Linked DNA regions of Saccharomyces cerevisiae S288C. The gene in region 3 interacts genetically with the main gene of each other region. Each region holds a gene or a part of one and is shown on either strand. Other genes may lie near its edges.

Region 1 (2,819 bases), on a different chromosome or scaffold from region 3:
TTCAAGTGCTTGGATTTACACTATTTGAGGTTATTTTAAGAGATGATCTTTCAAGGGTTTTAAATATTAATTATAATATTATTTGGTCTTTTCTTCCGGCGGGTTGAAAGTTCCAGCTGCGGGAGGAAGGTAAAGTACTCCATTTGAAAAAATAGAAATTACAAGAAACGGCGTTAGCATTGGCGTATGCCTAAATCATCAAAATGGCGAATGAAATAGGTTTCCCTGAAAACATAGAGATGTGCTGCCCAATTACAAAGCTCAAAAGATACATAAAAAGAGGAAAAACAAACCTGTAGTTAACTTTTCCCTACTCTTTGATAACTGATGTTTTAGTAAATATTCTGAAAATAGAGGGGTAAATATTTAAAAATGTTGTATGGATCAATTACTTTTTATACCTTTTATGATCCAGTTTAAAAATATGTATAGATAATCGAGAATATGCAAAAATAAAAAAAAATACAAATGTGTTTTGCATTAATTCCTCTTCCAAAATGATAGAAAAGAACGTAAAACAAATAAATAAAATCACTCAGCCGGTTGGATGTTTTGGCTTCAATTAGGTTTATCTTCTGGTGGAGTATGATCTTCCAATGTAGGTCCTAACAACGGAATCTTTTTGTATAGCGTATCTTGAAACTTAGGCCATCCTTCTGTGAATACAAATAGCCCAAGCATGCTAGCACCACCCCATAACATTAAATTCGGAGCATAAGCTGTTAAACTTCTTAAAGAAAGTCTACCGAAATGTAGACCAGTTTTTGAAGACAGATGAGAAGTGTACTGTATTATAAATGTTAGTATACTAATTCGGTTCTAGCTCACATAATATGATAGGATACTTACCGCCATTGAGGTTAGTTTTAAGTCTTATGGATTGTATTTATCGATATATTATTCGACTTGCGCTTTTGCTGTGAAGATTATTCCAGAAGATATCTATAACAAATTATGCATTCAAACTGTTATGTGATATATCCCGTCCCCTTGATAAATGGTATGGTTTTTTGATGCGGAAACAACGGGTTGAACCATATTTAGTTTTAATTGGATCAAAATCACGTGACAAAATACTACTTTGCAATAGTAATACGCACTTGAAAACTATGTAAATATAAGTATATATTCAAAGTGCGACAGCGTTATATCGCATAGCATTCTTCAGTCATTAGAGGTAGTGGTGAAGATTGAGGACAGTTTCGCGGCTCGTAACGTTAGCAAAAACTACCCATAACTAGGTGCATATTACACTGATATTAAATTACAGAGTGAGAAATCGTACTAGTATAATTAAAATAGAATGAGAAGCCTAATTCTTTTGGATTCCATGCTTTTTATAAGCCGGAATAGAAAATTTTTCAGTGAATGTCTGTCCTGGTAAAATCGGGGCAGTTTCCAAAATGCTCCTGATCTGTTCTTCATGCTTGTCGGTCCCTTCAGGGATGTGCTTGTAAATATAATAATCTAAATCCTCACCTGGCTCTGCCCTTCTAAATAGTTTTGAATGAAATTCAACGCCGTCTTCGGCCCTCTTTTTGGCCAGCTCTCTTTGGCGGTTTTCTATCTGAAACTTTTCTTCTGTAGCTACTTCATGGTCACGTACAGCCAGCGCATCCGTAACCTTCTTCCAAAGCCTTCTCGATTCGTATTCTCCCTGTTCCTCCAATGGGCGGACTTTAGGAGCTAGAGGAAAATGCTGATGAGTATCGAAGAGAACAGTCTTTTTAGAGCTTTTTTCCCTCAAATCTTTGATATACATAATATCATTCCACTTACCACTAATTTGGTAGTATTCCTTACCATCGTAATCCTTAATTGTACCTTCAATTGCATCATAGGTACCAGAAATAAAGCCCTTTGTTTTGAACTCAATATCCACTTGATACTTAGGACCCATAATGACCATGTGATCTCCCAATTCAATCCTCATCTTGCCAAACAGAATTCCCCTTGCGTAAACATTTGGTTGCGATAGAGTATATTTCTCTGGTTTACCATTTGCATCCTTGATATCAAGGAATTGCAATACAGTTAACCCCTCCATCATTGCAGCACTTGAGTTTCCTAAAAATTTCGATTTTGGCACAACAACTCCATCAACTCTAATATTCGATTCTGGAATCATGTAAAAATACGCAGATTCAGGAGGATGGTGACTCGTTTGTTCTGCAATGTAAAAGGCTTGTTGCTTGTTAGGCAAATCCCAATAAGCTGTAAAGTGTTCTCCAAGAATGGGATTTAGGGGCTTCTTCACAGCCCTGGGCCCAATGTGCCAACCTGCTAGGTACCATGCTACCACTTTAACGAACCTTTGCAGCCCGTCTTTATTGGAGTGTGCTTCTAAAAGAACATCTGGGAATTGTAATTGATTAGTGATTCTCTCCAACATCGATTTTTTTTCCAGAATAAATGTCGGAAGTGTGATTCTAGATAAATCACAACCTGGCTTCAGCTGGGAAATAATATTTAATAGAATACTTTGCCCAGATTCATCATTCTCATCGATATCATCCGTGTCTGCTCCGCTTGGTTTGGAATTTGCAGCATTGGATGCAATGCCGTTAATTGAGCTATGAGAACTGTTTGTTAAAGAAGGTATATTCTTTAGTTTATTGAGAGCCATTCTTTGTTTCTAATTTACTGGTTAGTTTCCTATTTCTAAATGAAAGAAGGAGGAATCTTTCCATTTTGAATATATCACATCCCTTCTTTGTTGACGATTTCAGAAAATATACTTTCATCCTTTAGAATTCTGGATTTGCGAGTGACCTCGGAAAAATTAGTACGCACGAGCGAATTAACATTCCTATAATATA
Region 2 (3,762 bases), on a different chromosome or scaffold from region 3:
ACTTATGCCTGTTCCCGACCTTCCCAGATCCTTGCTTAACATCAAATTCACTCCCATTTTCATGCTCTAATTGCTCATTTACTTCCTCTTGAAGTTCTTGCACTCTTGCTTCACACTTTTCGACGTCTTTCTCTGTGGGTAATTGGGGAGTCTCGATCCTTGTAGGCACTAAAACTTCATCTTCATCCGATACCAAGTTACTACTATCTGTATCTATCATTTCGACCACATTATTGCTGGTATTACCCATAGGCTGATGAGGACCTGGCGTGGTGATCTCTGGAAGCAAGGGTGCTTCCGACTCTGAGCCAGAGCCTTCGGACGAAAACAAAGACGGTGTTCTTTCACTCTGAGAAGGTTCTTGCTGTTCCACTTCTGGAACCAGTATTGTAGATGGTACCTCCTTTTGAGGCAATTTATCCGCAAATGAGGCAGAAACTTTTAACTTACTCAAGGGTGTGCTATGGCCTGTTCCATTGGCAGTTCCGAGCTCTTTTGGATTGTGTCGTATGTTCGGTACAAATGGATCATTTTCCGTACCGCTTGAAGTCAACGAATCGTTAAAATTATCCATGCTTACTGGCTTTCTATTTGTGTTCTTTATTGGTGTTTTGACGGAAAGTTTTCCTAAAATGGCAGAGCCATTTCCATGCTCTTGGTTCAAATCACTCGTCTTACGCTTTTTTGCCTTCTGGTAATCCTGTTCAATTTCTGAATCTGATGATAGGAGGTTCAAATGCTTATTATCGATTTTATTTTCCTTTGAATTAGATTCAGACCAGTCGTCAGAATCAGGGTCTTTCCTTTTCTTACGAGTATCGGAATTTTGCTGGAAATCATTGGTGTCTGATTTGTTGGAGCTTGATGTTATCACATCATCCTCTTCATCGTCCACTTCATCGGTATCCGTTCCACTAGGTACAATTAAAGGATCGTCTTTTTTATCATTGTCATCATCATCATCATCATCATCATCATCATCATTACTTACATCATCCAGTATTCTATTCTTCTTAAACTGTTTGGCCATGGGGGAAGCAGATTTCTCCCTGCGAGCTCGTCTACTTCTACGAGGGGAAGCTATAGATGGGGAAGATGAGGGACGGTCCATTTTCACAATACCTTCATCGCTGGGCCGAACGTTCAGATACATTTTCCGTAACTGCGGGATCTGCGGTTTAACCTTTTCATCGAACAGCCCCACCAGCGCATTTTTCCTAGCATTAGATGGGAAATCGACATTATTTTCTACCAATATCCTCCTCAAAGTCGCAACTTTCATTGAATTCGGATCAAAACCGTCCTCTAAATACTCCAAGTCACTATTCATCGCGGCACTAACTGAGTACTGCTACCGTTCTACTGTTTGTTGTTCTGGCCTCTACGTTCACTCCGTATGGTCTCAGTCTACTATTAATAATGACTGAGGACTATTTCTCTTCCATGTATTCCGCATAGTATATTGACAGCTATACAAGTAGATCGATGTCCAGATTAGCCACCACAAATTGAAACCAAAACAAAAACAAAGGGGGCTTCCTAAAACAGTAATTTTGAGGGCTCTTTAAAACCCTTGATTTCCGTTCAGGGTGATCAATATATATATCCTAGTTATTTTATAGATGCCCTAACTTTATTTTTAGGGCACGTGGGGGTCTTCTCTTTTCTTTTTTCATTCCTTTTTCATCTTTTTTTTGCGCCTGGCGATGATGAGAAAGGAGTTCTAGTAGCACAAGGTTTAAAGGATATTATCAAAAAATAGATAAATTTTAAAAAAAAAAAAAAGGCATCTCTTGACGACTTTTCTTCTCTCTCTCTACAGGCAGAATTAGCAGCGTTTCTCGTATACTAGTCAATTATCGGATATTAATAGTATTTTTATTATAGTCTCCCTGCTATAGCCAATTTTGATTCAGCAAAACTCGATTGAACTGCTAGTACGCCAGATTAATAAATTATATAACAAATAAAAAGGGGGCATTCTAAAAAAAATTATGGACAATCAGGCTACACAGAGGCTTAACGACCTTTCTCTAGAACCAGCTCCTTCACACGATGAACAAGATGGTTCAGGACTAGTCATTGACATAGATCAAAGAAAGATTGGTGATGAACAAGCTGGTGTCGTAGTGGATGATGAGACACCCCCCTTAGAGCAGCAAGATTCACACGAAAGTTTAGCTGCTGATTCTCGGAATGCTAATTTCTCGTATCACGAGAATCAGCAGTTGTTGGAAAATGGCACCAAACAGTTGGCCCTAGATGAGCATGATTCTCACTCTGCCATCTTGGAGCAACCATCGCATTCTACCAATTGTAGCTCTTCCAACATAGCAGCGATGAATAAGGGCCATGACTCGGCAGACCATGCATCTCAAAATTCCGGGGGTAAACCGAGGACCTTGTCTGCTAGTGCTCAGCATATCTTGCCAGAGACGCTCAAGTCATTTGCCGGCGCTCCGGTAGTGAATAAGCAGGTACGTACCTCTGCCTCCTATAAAATGGGAATGTTGGCTGATGATGCTTCACAGCAGTTTCTTGATGATCCCTCTTCCGAGTTGATTGACTTGTATTCCAAAGTGGCAGAGTGTAGAAATTTGAGAGCCAAATATCAGACCATATCTGTGCAAAACGATGATCAAAACCCAAAAAATAAGCCAGGCTGGGTAGTCTATCCACCACCACCTAAACCTTCATACAACTCAGACACTAAGACTGTTGTGCCAGTAACAAACAAGCCGGATGCGGAAGTTTTCGATTTTACGAAATGTGAAATTCCTGGTGAGGATCCAGATTGGGAATTTACCCTCAACGATGACGACTCGTACGTGGTACACAGATCAGGTAAGACGGATGAGTTAATTGCTCAAATCCCTACCCTTCGTGACTACTATCTGGATCTAGAAAAAATGATTTCCATCTCATCAGACGGTCCCGCTAAATCATTTGCTTATAGAAGGCTGCAATACCTAGAAGCACGCTGGAATCTTTACTATCTCTTGAACGAATATCAAGAAACTAGCGTTTCCAAAAGAAACCCACACAGGGATTTTTATAATGTTAGGAAAGTGGACACTCACGTTCACCATTCTGCTTGTATGAACCAAAAGCACTTATTACGTTTCATTAAACACAAATTGAGACATTCCAAAGATGAAAAGGTTATTTTCAGGGACGGGAAACTACTAACTTTAGACGAAGTATTCCGTTCTTTGCATTTGACTGGATATGATTTATCCATCGATACTTTAGATATGCATGCACATAAGGATACATTCCACAGATTCGATAAATTCAACTTAAAATATAACCCTATCGGTGAATCTCGTCTCAGAGAAATTTTTTTGAAGACAAACAACTACATCAAGGGTACCTACTTGGCTGACATTACCAAACAAGTCATATTCGATTTAGAGAATTCAAAATACCAAAACTGTGAGTATAGAATTTCTGTTTATGGCAGGTCTCTCGATGAATGGGATAAACTAGCTAGCTGGGTGATTGACAACAAAGTTATTTCCCATAATGTTCGTTGGTTAGTCCAAATTCCGAGGTTATATGATATTTACAAGAAAACTGGCATTGTTCAAAGCTTCCAGGACATCTGTAAGAATCTGTTTCAGCCACTATTTGAAGTGACCAAAAATCCTCAGTCTCATCCAAAATTGCATGTATTTTTACAGAGAGTAATTGGGTTTGATTCTGTCGATGATGAATCCAAGGTTGATCGCCGCTTTCATAGGAAATATCCCAAGCCATCAC
Region 3 (3,762 bases):
CGATGTAAGGCGTTTGAGAAAGGATCTTATAAATGCTAAGGTTGACTTGCAGGTTGAAAACCTGATAATAATCTGCAATATTAATGATATTTCCACTGTATTTCTCATGAGAGAAGTGGTGGAATGGATCTTACGCAATTTCCATTCAATAACTGTATATGTACAAGATATTTTTAAAAAGTCAACTCAGTTTGCTGTTGGTGACCTCTGCAAAGACAGCAATTGCAGTAAAAACAGAGTAAAGTATTGGTCAAAAGAATTTGTTAAAAAACACGATTCATTCTTTGACTTGATGATTACACTAGGGGGTGATGGAACTGTCCTTTTTGCTTCATCTATATTCACGAAAGATGTTCCGCCGATTGTTCCATTTGCCCTTGGATCATTAGGATTTCTAACAAATTTTGAATTTCAAAATTTCAAAGAAACGTTGAAACATATCTTAACAGATGAGGTTCGTATTAATTTACGAATGAGGTTGCAATGCAAACTCTACCGTAGAAATAAACCAGAAATTGATGCCGCAACTGGGAGAAAAATATGTTACATCGATTTCATCTCCGAACATCACGTATTGAACGAAGTAACCATAGATAGAGGTCCAGCTCCTTGTTTATCCCTATTAGAACTCTATGGAAACGACTCACTAATGACTAAGGTTCAGGGAGATGGATTGATTGTTGCCACGCCTACGGGATCCACGGCATACTCATTGAGTGCAGGAGGCTCTTTAATATCGCCAAGCGTAAATGCCATAGCGGTGACGCCTATATGTCCTCATACTTTGAGCTTTAGGCCTATAATTTTACCAGATAGCATGGAATTAAAAGTTAGAGTAGATATGAACTCAAGAGGGACGTCGTGGGTGAATTTTGACGGAAAAGATAGAGTTGAATTGAAACAGGGTGACTATGTTGTGATAACTGCAAGCCCCTATTCGGTACCGACTATCGAGTCATCTGCCAGTGAATTTTTTGAAAGTATCAGTAAAAATCTTAATTGGAATGACCGCGAAGAGCAGAAGCCATTTGCACATATTCTCTCGCCAAAAAATCAAGAAAAATATAGATTAGACTCATCGAAAAATGGAAACGACACCATAAGTAATCCCCTCGAGAGTTCATGCATAAGCTCAGATGCACAAGATGAGGAGAGGAAATCCGTAACGGAAACAGAAACAGAAATAGTTGTTGAACGGACTCGTCAGGCTCATTTTGCAATCTAACGATTTCCCACATCCTGCGTTTCCGTAGTCAAGGGTTCATAATGGATGATGAGCCTGTAAACAGCTTTGTATTTACCTCTTTTACTTCAAGAATGCTCTTGCGTCGTTTGCAGTGTCGAAGAAGATCCAGTAGAGCTATACAAAATGGAGAAATGAAACAGTTGAACCAGAGCGCCGCATTTGGCAGGTAGTTTCGCTAAATTTCCTCATGCGCGTTTGTAATTATGCTAGTTAACCATATGATAAGGTTGCCTAACTTGCAGTCACCGGAAGGTTATTTCCGGAATGGTGCAGAATAATTTTTAAAATAGTAGCATATATTTCGTTCCAATTCCCAAATAGGGAATTATAATTATGACAGATAAATTCCCGATTAGGAAGAAGCGCGAAAATTCTTGAAAAACTTTTTTCAACCTCGAAGAAAATCGTCGTCCTTCGAAGATTTAGTGGGAATCTTCAAGGTGGATAGTTTCCAAATTAAAACTGCAGAAGAGGCTTTTAAAACATGCCTGAGGTATAAAAAGAACAACATTCCTGGTGATTATGGTTTCTGTTGGACCCTGTTCCCTTTGTAAAACTTCTATTTATTGTCCTGCAAATAAGCTAATTATATAATTAATAATGGCAATCGTTAATAGTTGGCTAATTTGTTTAGTCAGTATTTTTTCCTTCGTGGTACGTGTAGAGGCCGCTACATTTTGCAATGCAACTCAAGCATGTCCCGAAGATAAACCATGTTGCTCACAATATGGTGAATGTGGTACTGGTCAATATTGTCTGAACAACTGTGATGTAAGATATTCGTTTAGTCATGATTCATGTATGCCTGTACCTATCTGCAAGAGTTCATCCACTAAATTCAAAGATTATTCCTCTAAGTTGGGGAATGCTAACACTTTCTTAGGAAATGTTAGTGAGGCTGATTGGTTGTATACTGGTGACGTTTTGGATTATGATGATGAAGAAAGTTTAATTTTGGCGATGCCCAAGAACAGTGGTGGTACCGTTCTTTCCTCCACGAGGGCTGTTTGGTATGGTAAGGTCAGTGCTAGAATAAAGACGTCACATCTTGCTGGTGTGGTCACTGGGTTCATTCTGTATTCCGGCGCAGGTGATGAACTTGATTACGAATTCGTCGGTGCTGATCTAGAAACTGCTCAAACCAATTTCTATTGGGAAAGTGTTTTGAACTACACGAATTCTGCCAATATTTCCACTACTGATACATTTGAAAACTACCATACTTACGAATTAGATTGGCACGAAGATTATGTAACATGGTCCATCGATGGTGTCGTCGGTAGAACCTTGTACAAGAACGAAACTTATAACGCCACCACCCAAAAATATCAATACCCACAAACCCCATCCAAGGTGGATATTTCCATTTGGCCAGGTGGTAATTCTACCAACGCTCCAGGAACCATTGCATGGTCTGGTGGTGAAATTAATTGGGACGCATCCGATATCAGCAACCCAGGATATTATTATGCTATTGTCAATGAAGTTAATATCACATGTTATGATCCACCAAGCGATACCAAGAAGAATGGTACTTCTGCTTATGTGTATACTTCGTCCAGTGAATTTTTGGCCAAAGACATTGCTATTACCGATGATGAGGTCATGATGGACAGTGATGAGGGATCTGGCTTGGACCCACATAAGGGAGCTACCACATCTTCCACCCAAAAGAGTTCTTCCTCAACTGCAACCTCTTCCTCCAAAACGTCATCCGATCACAGCAGTTCAACTAAGAAGAGTAGTAAGACTAGTTCCACCGCTTCATCATCATCATCATCATCTTCTTCTTCTTCTTCTTCTTCCTCTACTGCTACTAAGAACGGAGATAAAGTCGTATCCTCCGTATCCTCTTCCGTCACTTCCCAAACTCAAACAACATCTTCTGTAAGCGGAAGCGCCTCCAGCAGTACAAGCTCAATGAGCGGTAATAACGCAGGTGCCAACGTAGCGGCAAACTGGCGTTTGACTGTTTTATGTGTCATCCTAGGTTATGTCTTATAGGAGGATCTGCATCTAAGAACAAATAGGCTACACAGGACTCTCAAAAAAAAATGTATTAATAAATAAAAGAACTTAAATATAGACTTTTTATTCGCATGCATATAAAAATAATTAATTAATAAATAACTGTAAAAAACTAGAATAATAAAAGTAATAAATATCTCCTCCGACGACATAGCCTATTTGGCAGCCTTTGTCATATAAGTAATTAAATCGTTTCTGTCCTTTTCCTTCTTCAACCCGGCAAACGCCATCTTGGTACCAGGAATATATTTCTTTGGGTTCGTCAAGTACTCGGACATACTATCCTCATCCCATTTGACGTTCTTGTTGATGTTTGCATCTGTGTAAGAATAACCCTTTACCTGACCTGAATGTCTACCAAAAATACCATGTAAATTAGGTCCAACTTTGTTAGGACCACCCTCTTCTATTGTATGACACTGCTGACACCTCGTTTTAAACAATGTAGCACCCTTTTTTGCAGAGCCTGGTTTGAATCCCGTACTTTC

Evidence for each region.
Region 1: mutations in UTR2 (region 3) and QCR10 together harm fitness more than expected from each alone (negative genetic interaction), as found in Saccharomyces cerevisiae (2 studies listed by BioGRID).
Region 2: mutations in UTR2 (region 3) and AMD1 together harm fitness more than expected from each alone (negative genetic interaction), as found in Saccharomyces cerevisiae (2 studies listed by BioGRID).

The regions. Positions count from the first base shown.
Region 1 is NC_001140.6:105,862-108,680, reverse strand, and holds QCR10 (ubiquinol--cytochrome-c reductase subunit 10), read right to left. Parts: upstream 856-2,819; coding exon 850-855; intron 787-849; coding exon 559-786; downstream 1-558. Other genes in the region: oxysterol-binding protein related protein OSH7, read right to left, coding at 1,313-2,626.
Region 2 is NC_001145.3:207,093-210,854, reverse strand, and holds the start of AMD1 (AMP deaminase), read left to right. Parts: upstream 1-1,994; coding exon 1,995-3,762. Other genes in the region: SRC1 (Src1p), read right to left, coding at 1-1,330. UniProt on the Saccharomyces cerevisiae protein: AMP deaminase plays a critical role in energy metabolism.
Region 3 is NC_001137.3:76,207-79,968, forward strand, and holds UTR2 (chitin transglycosylase UTR2), read left to right. Parts: upstream 1-1,846; coding exon 1,847-3,250; downstream 3,251-3,762. Other genes in the region: YEF1 (NADH/NAD(+) kinase), read left to right, coding at 1-1,225; CYC7 (cytochrome c), read right to left, coding at 3,430-3,762. UniProt on the Saccharomyces cerevisiae protein: Dual chitinase/transglycosylase that plays a role in cell wall architecture. Chitinase and transglycosylase activities are coupled. Required for the polysaccharide cross-linking at the septa and the cell wall.